Mus musculus: one gene and its partner. The protein of the gene in region 1 interacts with the protein of each later gene in a biochemical or structural test. Links are inferred from orthologs where the notes say so. Each region holds a gene or a part of one and is shown in the gene's direction. Other genes may lie near its edges.

Region 1 (7,770 bases):
ACCATCTGTAATAGGTCCCAGGGCCCTCTTCTGGTGTGTCTGAAGACAGTGACAGTGTACTCACATATATAAAATAAATCTTTTTTAAAAAAAAAGTTAAAACTTAAAAGCCAAAAAAGCCATATATATATGTGTGTGTGTGTGTGTGTGTGTGTGTGTGTGTGTGTGTGTGTGTGTGTAAAATTAAAGGATTAAAAGTGTGGGCCACTGCATCCATCAATAATGGATAAGTCTTAAAGTGTTTTAGTAAGATGTTTGTGTGGCTTTCTGAGCTGTCAGTAAGTTGTCATTGCTACCAGATATGGTACTGGCATTGTCTGTGACCCCAGTATTGACTCATAAACCTAGGATGGTTTCTAGTCTCACCGTAGACGGTCCCTTCCTAAACATCGTAATGCCAAGGCTGGTCTACCCAGAGATGTTGCTCTGAGAGCTCTGGCCATGGCCTACCTGTCTGAAGAAGGGGGCTAAACCTTTATGGCAACTATCGCAGCTTCAGAATGGTTGGCATGTAAACTTACTCCAGCAGTAAAAATGAAATTAAGACTTTCAGTGTTGAATATCTTTCCCTCCTAAGTTTTAAAAACTGGTCACATAATCCATCTCTGAAGAATGAATGATTTGTTTCTAAGTCAGGTAGCTAAGACTGTCTCCTGGTACCCGGTGTACATTCTTGGGATCCTTCTCTTGTTGGCCTATCCGTTAGTTCAGCATGAACTAGTTAGGACTGTGAATGGCAGCAGCCACCCTTGTCCCTGAGGTGAGTGTGCTGTATTCTGAGGATGTGTGAGTCAGTCAGGACCTGAAAGGGCCCTGGCAACCTGTACAGAGCACAGGGGGAAAGGTTTTGTTGTTTTATTCTCTTGACTGGATGCTATGGGGAGAGCCAGAGGTCTGCAAGACAAATTCATGGTGTTTCGGGCTGTCATGGTTGGTCCCACATTCTGAGTGTTCCCAGTGTGGCCTCCCCCACCACTGCCAGTCTGTCCTCAGAATGGCATAATATTCATGTATAAAATACAATATATGTTGAAAAACAATGTGTATATATGTTGTATATATTTATCATATGTGTATGATATGTGCATATAAACTCTGGCTGGCCTCAAACTCTCAGCCCCTGTGCCTCAGCTTCCCAAGTCCTAAAACTGCAAGTGTACACACCAGCCCTGGCTAGAACAATTTTTTTAAGGCGTGTGAAGCCTGACATTGAGCTCATATCCAAAATAAACACAAGTAACTGGTGGACCTGGAAGCTGGGCTTCTGTTTTGAAATGAGCTTCAGTCGACCACCTTTTGTATTGTGTGGGCAATGGTGAGTACTTAGCACACCTTTGGACTTCTGTTCTCAGAGGAGCTCCAGTTTTCCTTCTCCTGCTGGGATGGCAGGTCCTTGCATGCATCTGCATTGCCTTAATAAAAACGAGGTTTTCTTTTTGTCTGCTTTTCACTTGTAAGAACCAGCTCCTTACGCTCGGCCGCCCAGCCCGAATTCAGTCCCCAGTGTGAGTGGAGAGGGGACCAGCTCCCTCTCCTGTCCTGTCCTGTCCTGTGACACGCGTGCCTTCCCTGTCAGGCTCTGAGGTTCCAGAACTGCTGCTGCAAGAGTTGAAAGGGTAGAGCCGACCTGTGCTGCTGCTCACTAGGGAAAGACAGACTGATGCTAATACAAGCCTAGGCTGCAACAGGACTGAGGGATTGCCGTGCTGCCTGTTAGTTGTCCTGTTTGCTTCTGGTAGATACCGCAAGGACTTACAGGATGTGAGGGGTAAAGGGGCAAAGGGGGGGGGGGGGAGATTAAGAAGAGGTGTGGGTGTGTCGCATGGTGGCGTAAGTGCCCTGCACACAAGCATTTAAGGGCCCAGCAAGAAGACAGCCGGCGAGAACCTAGCCGGGATTCCAGAGAAAAACTGTCAGGAAAGGAAAGGGTGCAGCTGAACCTAGAGTTTACCTGCCTACTCACCTGCCTGCTGCTGCGCCAGGTGTGGGGCCGCAGGTTTCCTGTAGTTCGCAAACCACTGCGTTCAAGGTCCACTTTATGCTGTCACGCAAAGCTGAGAAATCTGCATAGTGGGATAAGCAAGAGCTTTCGAGAGTCTGGGGCGGTATGTACAGCCCGGCCCGATGAGGTCCAGTCACCTGGACAATTCTCCCTACATCCATGCCCCAAATGTAAGCACCCCCAAAGCTGACCATAGTCTGCATTTGCTGCTTGCTTCTTTTTAACAGTTCCAGGTCCTGGCCCAGGGCACAGGCAAAGCCACAGAGCTGATGCCCGTTAGGCAGTGCAGCTCAGGTTTAGGAAGAGCTGTGTGGGATCCTGAAATCGCTTCATGGAGCCTCTGCTCTCAGAGGCTCTGCACCTGTCCCAGCTGCTAAGTTCCACTCCAAATGGGAACAGCTATTTTGGGAGCGCTTAAGCCATCAGAAAAGTGAATGGCTCCATGGTGGCTTGGCTCTGATGCACACCCCTCAAAGCATGTCGCCTGTTTGGTCACAGAACACTTTTCCTTTGGGCTTTCTTATCCCTCTCCCTGCCCAAATTGAGACAGGCGCCAAGAGATGACCTCTACTCACCCCCATCCCAGCTTCCATAAGTTGCTCCTTCTAGAAACCCAAAAGCAGATTCCCATCTATCAGCGGTATAAATAGAACCCACACAAGCCTGGCAGGTGGTGGCCCCAAGGTGCATGGGAAGCAGCCGGGCTGACGGGCATCATCCTCTAAATATAAAGATGAGTCTGCCTGGGAGGGGCCGCTCCTGGGCACCAGTGTAAGGTCTTAGTGCTCCTTAGAAGGTATATCTTCATCAGCACCTCTCTCTGCCTCAGCCCCCTCTAGGTCCCAACAGTTCCAGGTATGATCCTTCTTTCAGACCCAGGGGAGGGAAGCTTAGTGCCACCAAAGAAGGGGTAGCATTTGCTCAGCCTAGCCAACTCGATGACGGTCAATCCCGAGTTTGGGATTTACACACACACACACACACACACACACACACACACACACACACACACTGACCCTTCCATTCCTTTCAAGAGTACACTGCAGAATGCAGGGACAGCTCTAATGCCCTGGCCTCCCATTCTGTGTGCCAGGGCCACATAGTCCCCATGCCTCCTCTCACTACCTCCTCCCCCTCTTCCACCAGTTGTCTGCCCAGTGACAGCTGCATATCCTACACTGACTGACAGCCTTGTGGGGGTGAATGGGGGTGATGTGTGTCAGATCTCTGGATTGGGGGAGCTTCAAAGTGGGAAAGAAAATGGAGTTCAAATGTGGGGCTTATTTTCCATCCCTACCTGGAGCCCATGACTCCTCCCGGCTCACCTGACCACAGGGCTACCTCCCCTGAGCTTAAGCATCAAGGCTTAGTAGTCTGAGTTAAGAACCCATAAATGGGGTGCATTGTGGCAGGTCAGCAATCGTGTGTCCAGGTGGGCAGAACTGGGGAGACCTTTCAAACAGGTAAATCTTGGGAAGTACAGACCAGCAGTCTGCAAAGCAGTGACCTTTGGCCCAGCACAGCCCTTCCGTGAGCCTTGGAGCCAGTTGGGAGGGGCAGACAGCTGGGGATACTCTCCATATACGGCCTGGTCCGGTCCTAGCTACCTGGGCCAGGGCCAGTCCTCTCCTTCTTTGGTCAGTGCAGGAGACCCGGGCGGGGACCCAGGCTGAGAACCAGCCGAAGGAAGGGACTCTAGTGCCCGACACCCAAATATGGCTTGGGAAGGGCAGCAACATTCCTTCGGGGCGGTGTGGGGAGAGCTCCCGGGACTATATAAAAACCTGTGCAAGGGGACAGGCGGTCACACGGACGTGAAGCCTCACTTCCTACCCTCGGCACCCAGGGCCAGAGTCAGAGCAGCAGGTAGGGTGGAGGTGGGGAGGGTGACCTGGAGACCCAGCAAAGAAAGCTATTGAGCCTTGGGCTTGTATTTAGCACTGAGTTCTGGAAATTTCTCCAAACTCACATCCAGCCCATTTGGGCTGCTGACTGGGCATTTAGGATATGCCTGGGGGTCTGACATCTATCCATTACCACCCGCAGACTCCTCCCTCCCCTCTTACTGGGGACTAAATCCAAGTCCTGCAAGTGAACAAGCCGGTGCTCTCCTACTGAGCCACACGCCAGCCTCTGGTTGGTTGAGATTTCTTTCCGGCTTTTCATTCCCCTTTCCCCTCTTTCTCTGCTGGGATCAAATCTGGGCTCTTGTGATGCAAGAGGTTGGCTGGATCTCCCACTGAGCTACACCCCAGCTCCTGGGAGACTGATTTGAAGATGAGCTTGGAGAGAGTCAAGCCTGGCCTTAGCCTTGGGGCGACTCCCTTTGAGATCAAGGCTTTTCTAAAGGGCAGCAACCCTGGCTACTCTTCTCTGAAATGGGAGACAGGTGGAAGGGTTTCTTCTGAGTTTGGGATGCTGTGAGTGTTCAACAGCTTTTCCATAGTTGTGACAATATCGCCCTTCCCCGGGCAGAATCCTCGACCCTCTCACAGGACAGGCAGGTGGTGGGCAGCGTGCCTTAATACCTCCTTCACAGATGAGATTGTGAGCAGAGAGGATAGGACTAGTGCTAGCTGTGGTGTGTGTGGTGGCCTACAATGAATGTAGAGGGTCTCAGGATATCCCCTGCATGCCTAGTTGGAGGACTTAGTGTGATCCACAGACAGCTCCCCCATAGCGAAAGCACAGCCTTAAGCTGGAAGAGCATCCTCTGACCCCCGTGCAAGGAAGGGGAAGGGGGAAAGGAGTTTTTGGATCTCCAAAGTGAAGATGGGTTAAGCGGAGCCTCACCCTAACCCCCCCCCCCCATCACATATACACAGCACTCAACACCTTGTCTTTGCAGAAACTAGACACCATGTGCGACGAAGACGAGACCACCGCTCTTGTGTGTGACAACGGCTCTGGCCTGGTGAAAGCTGGCTTTGCCGGGGATGATGCCCCCAGGGCTGTGTTCCCATCCATCGTGGGCCGACCCCGTCACCAGGTCAGGCTGCTGGCAGGGAAAGATAGGCTCTCTGAATCCAGCCAATGTTCTCCTCACCCCTGGCTGTAGTAACAAGTGTCTGATGTCTCTATCTGCAGGGTGTCATGGTAGGTATGGGTCAGAAGGACTCCTACGTGGGTGATGAGGCCCAGAGCAAGCGAGGTATCCTGACCCTGAAGTACCCCATTGAACATGGCATCATCACCAACTGGGACGACATGGAGAAGATCTGGCACCACACCTTCTACAATGAGCTGCGTGTGGCCCCTGAGGAGCACCCGACTCTGCTCACCGAGGCCCCCCTGAACCCCAAAGCTAACCGGGAGAAGATGACTCAAATCATGTTTGAGACCTTCAACGTGCCTGCCATGTATGTGGCTATCCAGGCGGTGCTGTCCCTCTATGCTTCCGGCCGTACCACCGGTAAGCGCTCACACATGGCCCACACATGGCCCACGCTGGCCCTGGTAGGATTGCTCCAACATTCCAGCCCCGCTTTTTAATCCTCTGCAGTATCCCGACCTGCGCCGCCTGCTGGTCCCCTCCACTCACATACTGCCTCTCCCCTGCACAGGCATCGTGTTGGATTCTGGGGACGGTGTCACCCACAACGTGCCCATCTATGAGGGCTATGCCCTGCCACACGCCATCATGCGTCTGGACCTGGCCGGTCGCGACCTCACTGACTACCTGATGAAAATCCTCACTGAGCGTGGCTATTCCTTCGTGACCACAGGTGCGTGCTTCCAATGCCCGCTGAGGGAGGGCGGGCAGAGGGTGAGCACACGCCCCAGGCCTTGCCCTGAGGCCCCCCACTGCTTTTGCTCCTGCAGCTGAACGTGAGATTGTGCGCGACATCAAAGAGAAGCTGTGCTATGTGGCCCTGGACTTCGAGAATGAGATGGCCACCGCTGCCTCTTCCTCCTCCCTGGAGAAGAGCTATGAGCTGCCCGACGGGCAGGTCATCACCATCGGCAATGAGCGTTTCCGTTGCCCGGAGACGCTCTTCCAGCCTTCCTTTATCGGTGAGCCGCCCGATCCGCTGGTGTGCGGGAATCAGTTTTCCCTCGCCCCACGCCACAGAGTACGGGGTCTCCACCCGCCGGTCCCTTAGCCCGACTCTGCGGTTGCTCACACTGCCTCTCCCCCGGACACCAGGTATGGAGTCTGCGGGGATCCATGAGACCACCTACAACAGCATCATGAAGTGCGACATCGACATCAGGAAGGACCTGTATGCCAACAACGTCATGTCAGGGGGCACCACCATGTACCCTGGTATCGCTGACCGCATGCAGAAGGAGATCACAGCTCTGGCTCCCAGCACCATGAAGATCAAGGTGGATGACGTGCCTGGTGTGGGTGGAGACCAGGGGCGGGGGGAACACGCAGGCACGTGACACTCTTGTCTTGCAGATCATCGCCCCCCCTGAGCGCAAGTACTCAGTGTGGATCGGTGGCTCCATCCTGGCCTCGCTGTCCACCTTCCAGCAGATGTGGATCACCAAGCAGGAGTACGACGAGGCTGGCCCCTCCATTGTGCACCGCAAATGCTTCTAGGCGCACTCGCGTCTGCGTTCGCGCTCTCTCTCCTCAGGACGACAATCGACAATCGTGCTGTGGTTGCAGGGTGGCCCCGTCCTCCGCCGTGGCTCCATCGCCGCCACTGCAGCCGGCGCCTGTTTTTGACGTGTACATAGATTGACTCGTTTTACCTCATTTTGTTATTTTTCAAACAAAGCCCTGTGGAAAGGAAATGGAAAACTTGAAGCATTAAAGCCAGCCATTCTGTTTTGCTCCAATAAACTGTGTGTGGTCTTTATTTACTGGGAGTAGGCAGTGGGCAGGCGAAGGACCCGTCTCCACCTCTCACTGTTCACAGACTGGGTGAACTCCTTAGGAAATGAAGTTAGAAAGTTAGGTCTTCTCACCCAAACTCCGTGGTTTTCCCTTCTGAATCATAGCCAGTTCCCTTATAGGGGATCTAAGTGGCTTGCCTGGTCCCTGGCTGCTTGGCAAAGTATCTTCCCCTTTAAGAGACGGCCACTGCCCGCTGCGAACAGGCGGGCGCTGGCCGTGGTGCTGCCCGAAGCGCCTCTTGCCAGGGCTGGAAATTGGATCCTTTAGCCTAACAAGTGTGTAATGAGAACAATCACCATCCCTTCCTTTCAATCAAATGCTGGTGGCACAGAGAAACGCTCTTCTTGCAGGGCTGTGGAGAAGCTGCCCGGGTGGGAGGACAAAGGAGAATCTGGTCAATCCAGAATGGAAGCACCTCACAAAGTCCAAGGCTGGCAGCCGGGCTCGTAGAAGACACAAGCCCAAGAATTGGTCACCTCTTACCATCTTAAAAACCCAACCCAGAGCCTTAAGCATGCTAGGACAACACACAACCACTGAGCTACATCCCAGCCACCACCAACGTTTTAAAGATACAAACCACGACAGTTTGAGATTCCCCAGGAGAGAACTACACCTGTTTTTATCCCATTTCTTAGACATGATCTCATATGTAGTAGAGGCTGGCCTTGAACTCTCAGCCATGCTTCCTCCCCAGCCTCTCTATGGTTGGCATCCCACTAACATCACCAGTCTCAACTTGCTGTTAAAAGTATCTTACTATTCCCAGTCACTATTTCCAAGGGCAGTGGTCTAAATAAAACAGGTGCCAACTTAAGAAAGGAAACCAGCTCACTTAGAAGCATGTTCACAGATAGGCTAGCCTGTGTAGCTGTTATCTGCCACAAAGCTGAGGGCTTATTCTCTCTTCCTTTTCTAT
Region 2 (7,646 bases), on another chromosome or scaffold:
ACAAGTGATCATCACTGTTAGTCATTAGGCATTTCTAAATTGCTAACTAGACTCAACACTCTAAATAATAACTTATGGAGTGGTAGATACATTTTAAATGTGGGATATTATTTAAAATATTATTATCCAATTTATCAGTTATCAGACAAATATTTTGATGGCAAATTTAATAGAATACAGGTCACAAGGCAGATGAACTCCCAGGAAGAAGTCATTTCTACTGGAGTAAGGTATTGGGGCATTTCCCTGCAGTCTTTGGCAGCATCAGACGCCAGAGACACTGGTTTAGTTCAGAGTGCAAGACCTGAGAGCCATTTAGAAAAGAGAAATGCAGCAGGAAGAACTAAAGAATGGCCCTGCTGCTTCCTCTCTCCTCCCAGCTTCCCCTGATGAGGACAAGAGTCTACGTTTCCTCTGAAGCTAAGAGAAGGACAGAGAAAAAAGAGAAGCCACTTTTGATAAGATGTTTAAGATTTATTCATTTGAATTTGTGTGTGTGTGTGTGTGTGTGTGTGTGTGTGTGGCATATGTGCAAGTGCCCACAAAGGTCAGATAAGAGCATTGGAGCCATCTTCACTCCTAAATAAATTACCTATATAAAGAACATGCCTGTACAAGTCCACTACCTAAATATTTAATTAAATGTGTATCTCTACAATAAATTCATCAGTTTCTACAATGCTTGTTCTATTACAGGCTCTGAAGTTTGATTTGGTCTCAGTTTTCTTCACATTAGATTTACTACTAACAATTGTCACACAAGGTGTCCTTTAGGCCACTTTTGTGTATTTCTGCTCTACTTTAGGACAGCAGTAGAAGAGTAAGAAGAGACACCAAGGTCAGACTGAAATGGGTGCATTTGTGCTGATCTTCAGTTAGAAAAAGACAGATGCATCCCTGAAAGTTGTTTTTGGCAGCTTGTGTGGAGATTTCTCAAGAATGTGCCTAATTCAGATGTTGCAATTCTTGCAACATGTAGTTTATCATTAAACAGCAAGAGTGTATTTCCAAAACACAGATAGAGCTATAATTTGAAAAAAAAAATAGATATGGGCTAGTCTTAAATTTTGTTGCAAGCACTCATGGAAAACAGTCTAAATGTATCTTTTAAAAAACAAATTATGAGAACATGACTGAGATACTATGTAGATTCTAATGATATTTATAGTGTAATCTTGGCATTAAAAATATACAAACCTGTTAACAATTGTACCAATCTGTGTGTTCTTGGTGGTTTTGATATTTTGAGACATCTGTTTCCAAATATTTGTAGTTAAGAATAAAACTTCCTTTAAATTAACTTTCGCAAGGGAAAGAAAATCATGCAGGCTTGTATTACACATGAAATTAACCTTTACACAGAACGCAGGTAGTGGGTGAGCAGGAAGCTGCCTGTGTGTCTTCAGCAATGCTTGTGGCCTCTGTTGATATCTTCTGCTGTGTGGGTTCCACTGGCTTTTAAAGAAATAGTTCCTATTTAATCTTACACCACTGAACCTAACACCCACTCACTTCCCATACAGTTGTTGATCTGACTAAGCAGGTAACTGTTTACTGTGGTTTGAGATGTTGGTGGACTCTGTCTGCACAGCTAATCTTTAACCACTGAATTGATTGGTAAGGGCATTCTCAGGCACCTATCTTTAAGAGCCCAGACATGGGGTTGAATTTTAAATCTTCAAATGGAATGTAGATTTCCGTGGTTCCTATGCTATCCTCAGATGTTGGAAACATGAGTAGTCAGGGAGAATAACTAGGAGAAATGAAAGAACATTAATGCGTGCAAACATGCATTAGATATCCGGCACATGGTTCATCTTAATCCCACACTAAGGGAAGAGCAATACATACATACATACATACATACATACATACATACATACATACATACATAAATACATAAATAAATAAACAACAAATAAACCAACAACCCCCCCCCTAAGAGTTCACAACTGAACAATGGGTCTAGAGAGGAGAAATAAATCTATATTATTCAGAAATAAGAGCTGGCTAAGACTGTGGTTCCTGAACCTGAGGACCCAATGTCAGTGTAAGATCAATATCTGACATTCTGGGCAAGGTACAGGATTCACATGAGGGAAGACTCTCTTTTCTAAGATAGAGATGCAAGATATCAAGTCCTAAAAGGTCCCTGTGAATTTTTTAGTTATGCTATTATAAAATATGTCAAACACATGGTAGTAGAGGGATCTCTAACTGATCTGCAGTGGTCCTAAGATTTTTACATCACATCGTGTGTGTGAGTGTGTGTGGTGGGTACTCACATGCTCATGTGCAATGGTAAGCCAGCCATTGAAGCTCTCCATCTATTATTTTTCTCATCTCAAGAGCTATTCTAAACATATACTCAATAGTGCACTGTAACACATAGATATAAGGCATGATGTCACCACAATTACCTAATGACATTAAATTCATGGAGTTAGAGAATTGCAATAAATTAACTGGCTTCTTGCTCTTTACTCATAACTTAAAATATCTAATCTGTGATATTTTAAAATAATGCTTATTTGTGTTAGATTTAAAGAGAGAAAGAAAGGGAGAACAGGAGGAAAAAGAAAGGAAGAAACACAGCTCCCAATTTTTCCATCAATACATAGGAGTGGTAGGGAGTACCCAGAGAAGACATAGACATATCTTTTCCTCCATATAGAATAGGGAAGTGTACCCCTACTGGTACATTAAGTAGATGCCATGGAAAAACTGCAGTGGGAAAGTATCCACATGCCTTGGCTTTTCCCAGTGACAAAGTTAATGATTAAAACCTCCCAGACTCTCCTCCATATTCCCCAGGGGTATCTATTTGCCTTATGATGATATTACTATCTATTTTTGGGAACAAGGCTGATTGTCCCTTGCTTCTGGGCAGAGATTAATAATTGATGAGTTTCTAGTTAGGATCGTTTGCAAATCCTGTGCTCCTGCCTTTTGCGTGGTGGCCGGCAGGTGAGAGGAGGTGCTGCAAGACTCTCTGGTCGCAGAATGAAGAGGGTTCTGGTTCTCCTGCTGGCCTTAGCCTTTGGGCACGCTCTAGAGAGAGGTAAGGCTCCTCTTTTCACTAAGAACTATTGCTAATTTAATTTCCCAGTGCCACTTTAAAACTTGAAGAGTAACTAACAGAAGAAATAGTGGATGCTCTAGAAGACAATAAAAGAAGGAACAAAGAGGGATCGATCTGAGCTCAGCTGGGCCATGTAGCATTAGTAAGAAATGCTCCCCACACATAAGAAATAAGTAGCTCACTAAAGATAGAGGCAGGTATGGCGGTGCATGTCTGCAACCTCAGAACACTGGAGGTGAGAGTGGGAGGATCTTGGGATTTCAAGTTTCCCTGGTGAACTGGCTGCATAGGGAGTTCAAGGCTAGTCTGGGCTGCCCGAGACCATCTGAAAACAAGCAAAACAACTCCTAAAAGAAAGTAGGGTTATGTAAGCTTTCAGTTTTCCTCCCCACATTGGATAAGTAAGATCTATAATGCAACCGGGGCCTCTGGTACACAACTAAGCATTTTTATTTCCCAAATGCTTACCCTCCTTGGTATCATCACGATGTCAGTGGTACAAGACGCCAGCTGAGAGAGCTCTTTGATCCTCCTTAGAGGATCGTACTCTTCAGCAGTTGCAAGGAACGAGAGTTTTTAAAAATACCTCTCACACAAAATAAGAAACTTTAGTATCTCTGAAATAAAATAATAAACAAGGTAACAGGGGTGGTGTTTCATGGAAATCACCCTTGCCCTGGGACATTGGCCTTTGCAGTGTTCTGAGGCTTCCGACAGTGCTAGCAGGTCACAGGACATGTGTGTAACTTCATAAATTCTGCAACTGGAAAACTTTCCAGAGATGTTTCCATTGATTTTTTTCCAGATGATCTCTAAACCCTAATTTAGCCTTTTATTGTACAGTTTAGGTGTTATTTTATAGATTTCCCTTTGAATAATTTTCATCTCTGGATTATTTTTTGATGCTTATAAGGGCATCTGCACACACTCTGATTTGTCAAATTAAGATGTTCATTTAGTACTCTTTCTTGACAGCAGCATTCAAACCATTCATGTATATTTATAGTAATAACACATTTAACCAGCAGTATATGCCTCCCTGGGAATTATCACTTATTAATGATGGCAAGAATAAACTCAGTCTTGACTTTATTTCTAATTTATGTGCGTTGGTGTTTTGCCTGCATGTATGCCTGTGTGGGAGTGCCATCCACTAGAACTGGAGTTACAGGTAGTTGTGAGCTGTCATGTGGGTGCTGGGAATTGAACCCTGTTCCTCTGAAAAAGCAGCGAGTGAGTGTTCTTAACCACCGAACCATCTCTCTAGTCCCTGCATTCACATTTTTATGTGAGTTATTTTGTTATTTAAATTATGTTAAATTCATTTTTATTCATCTGCATATGCTTACTACAGCTATAAGTCCTGAGTGGAGACTACCAAATCTTAGAAAAATAGGTACTAGTGAATAGATGAATTATGTAAGCGGTGGTGCCATACGCAGCCCTGAAAGCGCCTTTGTAAGTGTCTGGGGATACATATAACCTTGAGATATGCTACTGAAGCAAGTTCAAACTCAGTCTCCAAAACCAAAAATCCCAGGGTGTGCTAGGGTTGGACTCAGCAGGCAGCCCCTGGGTCAGCTTCAAAATTGCAGACATAAAGGCAGTCTCCCACCTTTATTTCACATTCTCAGCAGCCATAGTCCCAAAGGAAACAAATGAAGCGAGAGGGAAAGGATAGGGGCAGAGAGAGGGGCAGAGGGGAGAGAGAGATCAAATCAGTTCCCTCAAGTCGTATAGCCCGTGTCCTGTAGACCAGACAAGACCCAGAGCCATGTAAAATACATTTACAAAGTATTTGCCAGGACATGCTTCATCTGTGGTTCCCTATTCTACCACACCAAGTGTGGCATCCGGAGCCACAACTGCGTCAGCGGGAGCCATGCTATGATCCGATGGAGTCTGGGCATGCCCCCTGCTGGTTGGAAGTGGTAGAGCACAGACTGAGACTGCAGCTGGCTTCCAGTTCAGAATGGCCGCAAGACTGGCTAGAGAGAGGGTTAGGATGCGGGTTGAGGTGTGGGGTGGTGGTAGTTCTCTATGTCTGACATTCTGAGAGACCTAACAGTTTCCTCAAACACTATTTCAATCACCCTGTGCTCAAGACATAGCTTGAAAACTGTTCCCTCGGTCCAGCATATTTGAGAAAGTAGCCGTTCTTTACTGATTAGCGGTTTACCATCAATGTGTCCACCGTAACAAGGCAATGGTAAGTCCACAAGAAACCCTACTTAAATCAGTTTTTTAAAGACACTTGACCTTTCCTAAGAGCCAGTAATCTGAAGCTGTCTTTTGGAAACTGGATCCAGTTTCCAAACTGGGCCTAAACCCGCTGTGCCACAACACAAAGTTCTCCCTCTTAGGAACTAGGTTTATCTCGGGGAAACTGACTTAGGAAATCTACCAAGTCATAGAAAACCAGACACTTCAGCTGGCCCAAGACGTGCAGAGGCAGTTCTTGCTGGCTGATCCATGTTCTTTCCCAAGAACTGAAACAGAAGCAGCGCTAACCTGCAGCTGACCTTCCCAGGTCCTCTTCCCACACCAAAGTAAGTAAGAGGAACCAACTATTGCTGCAGCTTTACAGTTACTAAGAACATAATTATCAATAGGAAATAAGCTCTTATAGACTACTAAACTGGTTTGCATCCAAGTTTCTGTTAAGTATAACACCAAACTGGGAAAGAAAAATGAAAGATGGTAAAGCTACATTTCCTCTTCTTCTTCTCCTTTACAAAATCTCTCCAAACGAGCTCTCAAGTCAGAAAAGTAGTTACTGCTGTCATCAAAAGAAACATTAGCCTCCTTGCAAACCAATAGCAATGTCATGGTTACAAAGCACAATGCCAGGAGTGCAGTCACCGCTATGTGTATAAGAATTAACATGCACACCCTTTAGAAGACCATGAGTTTCACCTATAATAGGAAGAAGATAAAGAGATCTTTTAACTTAACAATGGGGTCCCCCCCCACTATCTGTTTGTTATAATTATCAACACGAAATGGAGAACTCAGTTTTAGCCCCCATTGCAGTTCTCTAGTGACTGACAGTAAGTGATCAATGAAATTTTTGAATACTGCCACAGAATCTGGGTACCCACTTTAAATGGAGTTTTGATAATCATAGGAACATTGAGAGCCAGATTTGATGGTTCATGCTGTAGTCACGGAATTCCAGCACTCCAACTAGAAGGTTATGACAGTAGTGAAATCAAATGCTAATGTGGAATTTATCTAGAAAAGTGGCTCTCAATCTGTGGGTTGCAACTCCCTTGGGGGTTACATATCAGACATCCTGCATATCAGATATTTTCAATTCATAGCAGTAGCAAAATTACAGTTATGAAGTAGCAGCAAAATAAATTAATGGCTGGGGTTCACCACAATATGAGGAACTATATTAAACAGTTGCATCATTAGGAAGGTTGAGAACCATTGGTAATGAAGAAATAAATTCTTCATGGGTGTCTACCATTGTTAACATGCTTAGTATACACAGTATCTACAATTCATGTTCTTTTAAAAGTCTCAAGAATGATTTCTGCAATCTAATTGAACCTCTTGGACCAACAACTCCATTCCAATCCCCACAGCCTGTGCCTCATAATAACCCTCACGGCACCCTTCGTTTCTATGAGTTTCACACTTCAGATTCCATGGATAGAATCATTTTACATGTTTTTTATTCTGTTTTTAGCCATTTATACTTAATATGATGACTTTAGAGATCAGGCACGCTGTTAATTAATAGAATGTCCTTTCATAAGGCTGAAATACATACACATTGCATGTCAACAGCATATTTCATTTCCCCATTTTTCCACTGACTCACACATGTAACTTTAATATCTTAATTCTTGTGAAGAATGTTGCAGCCATGAACATGGAAATTCAAGGGATCCTTTAATATGGTGACGTCATATCTCTTATCACCCAGAAGTAGTATGCTGGGCAATGCAGTATAATAGTTGTGTTTTAAATTCTTTCAGGAATGGGTGCACTGTTTCTATAATGGCTGCTTCAAGGCACATCCTCAGGAATAAACGTTGTGTGCTGGTCCCTCTTTCTCTGCATCCCTACACTGTCTTTCTTTTAATAATTGTCACAGGTGTGAGGTGATATATTGTGATTTTGATTTACATTTCCCTGGTGCTTGTGGTATTGAGAAGGCTTCTAATACCTGTTAATATATATATATATATATATATATAGATAGATAGATAGATAGATAGATAGATAGATGCTAAAAGTTTTTCAAGTATCTGTATTTCTTCTTTTATGAAATGTTAATTAAGTCATTTACCATTTTAGAATTTTATTGTCTTCTTGCTGCAAAGATGAGTTTCTCAGTTATTTTAATAGTAATCTCTTGTAAATGTAGTCTCAAATATCTCTCACTCTGTGGGTTATCTCATTTTGTTTCCCTTGTTTTTCCTTTAAATATTGGGGAGGATGGCAGAGCTGAAGGGATGGCTCGATATTTAAGAGCCCTAGCTGCTCTTCTAGGGGACCTGGGTTCAATTCCCAGAACCCACCTGGTGACTTATGTCTCCAGTTCTAGCTG

Evidence for each region. The genes of interacting proteins can lie anywhere in the genome.
Region 2: the proteins of Acta1 (region 1) and Gc are reported together in a solved structure, tested with the Homo sapiens proteins (2 studies listed by BioGRID and IntAct). The link is inferred for Mus musculus from reciprocal best matches to the Homo sapiens genes ACTA1 and GC.

Annotation. Positions count from the first base shown.
Region 1 is NC_000074.6:123,890,790-123,898,559, reverse strand, and holds Acta1 (actin, alpha skeletal muscle), read left to right. Parts: upstream 1-3,784; 5' UTR 3,785-3,868; intron 3,869-4,048; exon of another isoform or gene 4,049-4,138; intron 4,139-4,850; 5' UTR 4,851-4,862; coding exon 4,863-4,991; intron 4,992-5,089; coding exon 5,090-5,414; intron 5,415-5,565; coding exon 5,566-5,727; intron 5,728-5,824; coding exon 5,825-6,016; intron 6,017-6,149; coding exon 6,150-6,331; intron 6,332-6,407; coding exon 6,408-6,551; 3' UTR 6,552-6,802; downstream 6,803-7,770. UniProt on the Homo sapiens protein: Actins are highly conserved proteins that are involved in various types of cell motility and are ubiquitously expressed in all eukaryotic cells.
Region 2 is NC_000071.6:89,453,076-89,460,721, reverse strand, and holds the start of Gc (vitamin D-binding protein precursor), read left to right. Parts: upstream 1-2,823; 5' UTR 2,824-3,003; coding exon 3,004-3,061; intron 3,062-7,646. UniProt on the Homo sapiens protein: Involved in vitamin D transport and storage, scavenging of extracellular G-actin, enhancement of the chemotactic activity of C5 alpha for neutrophils in inflammation and macrophage activation.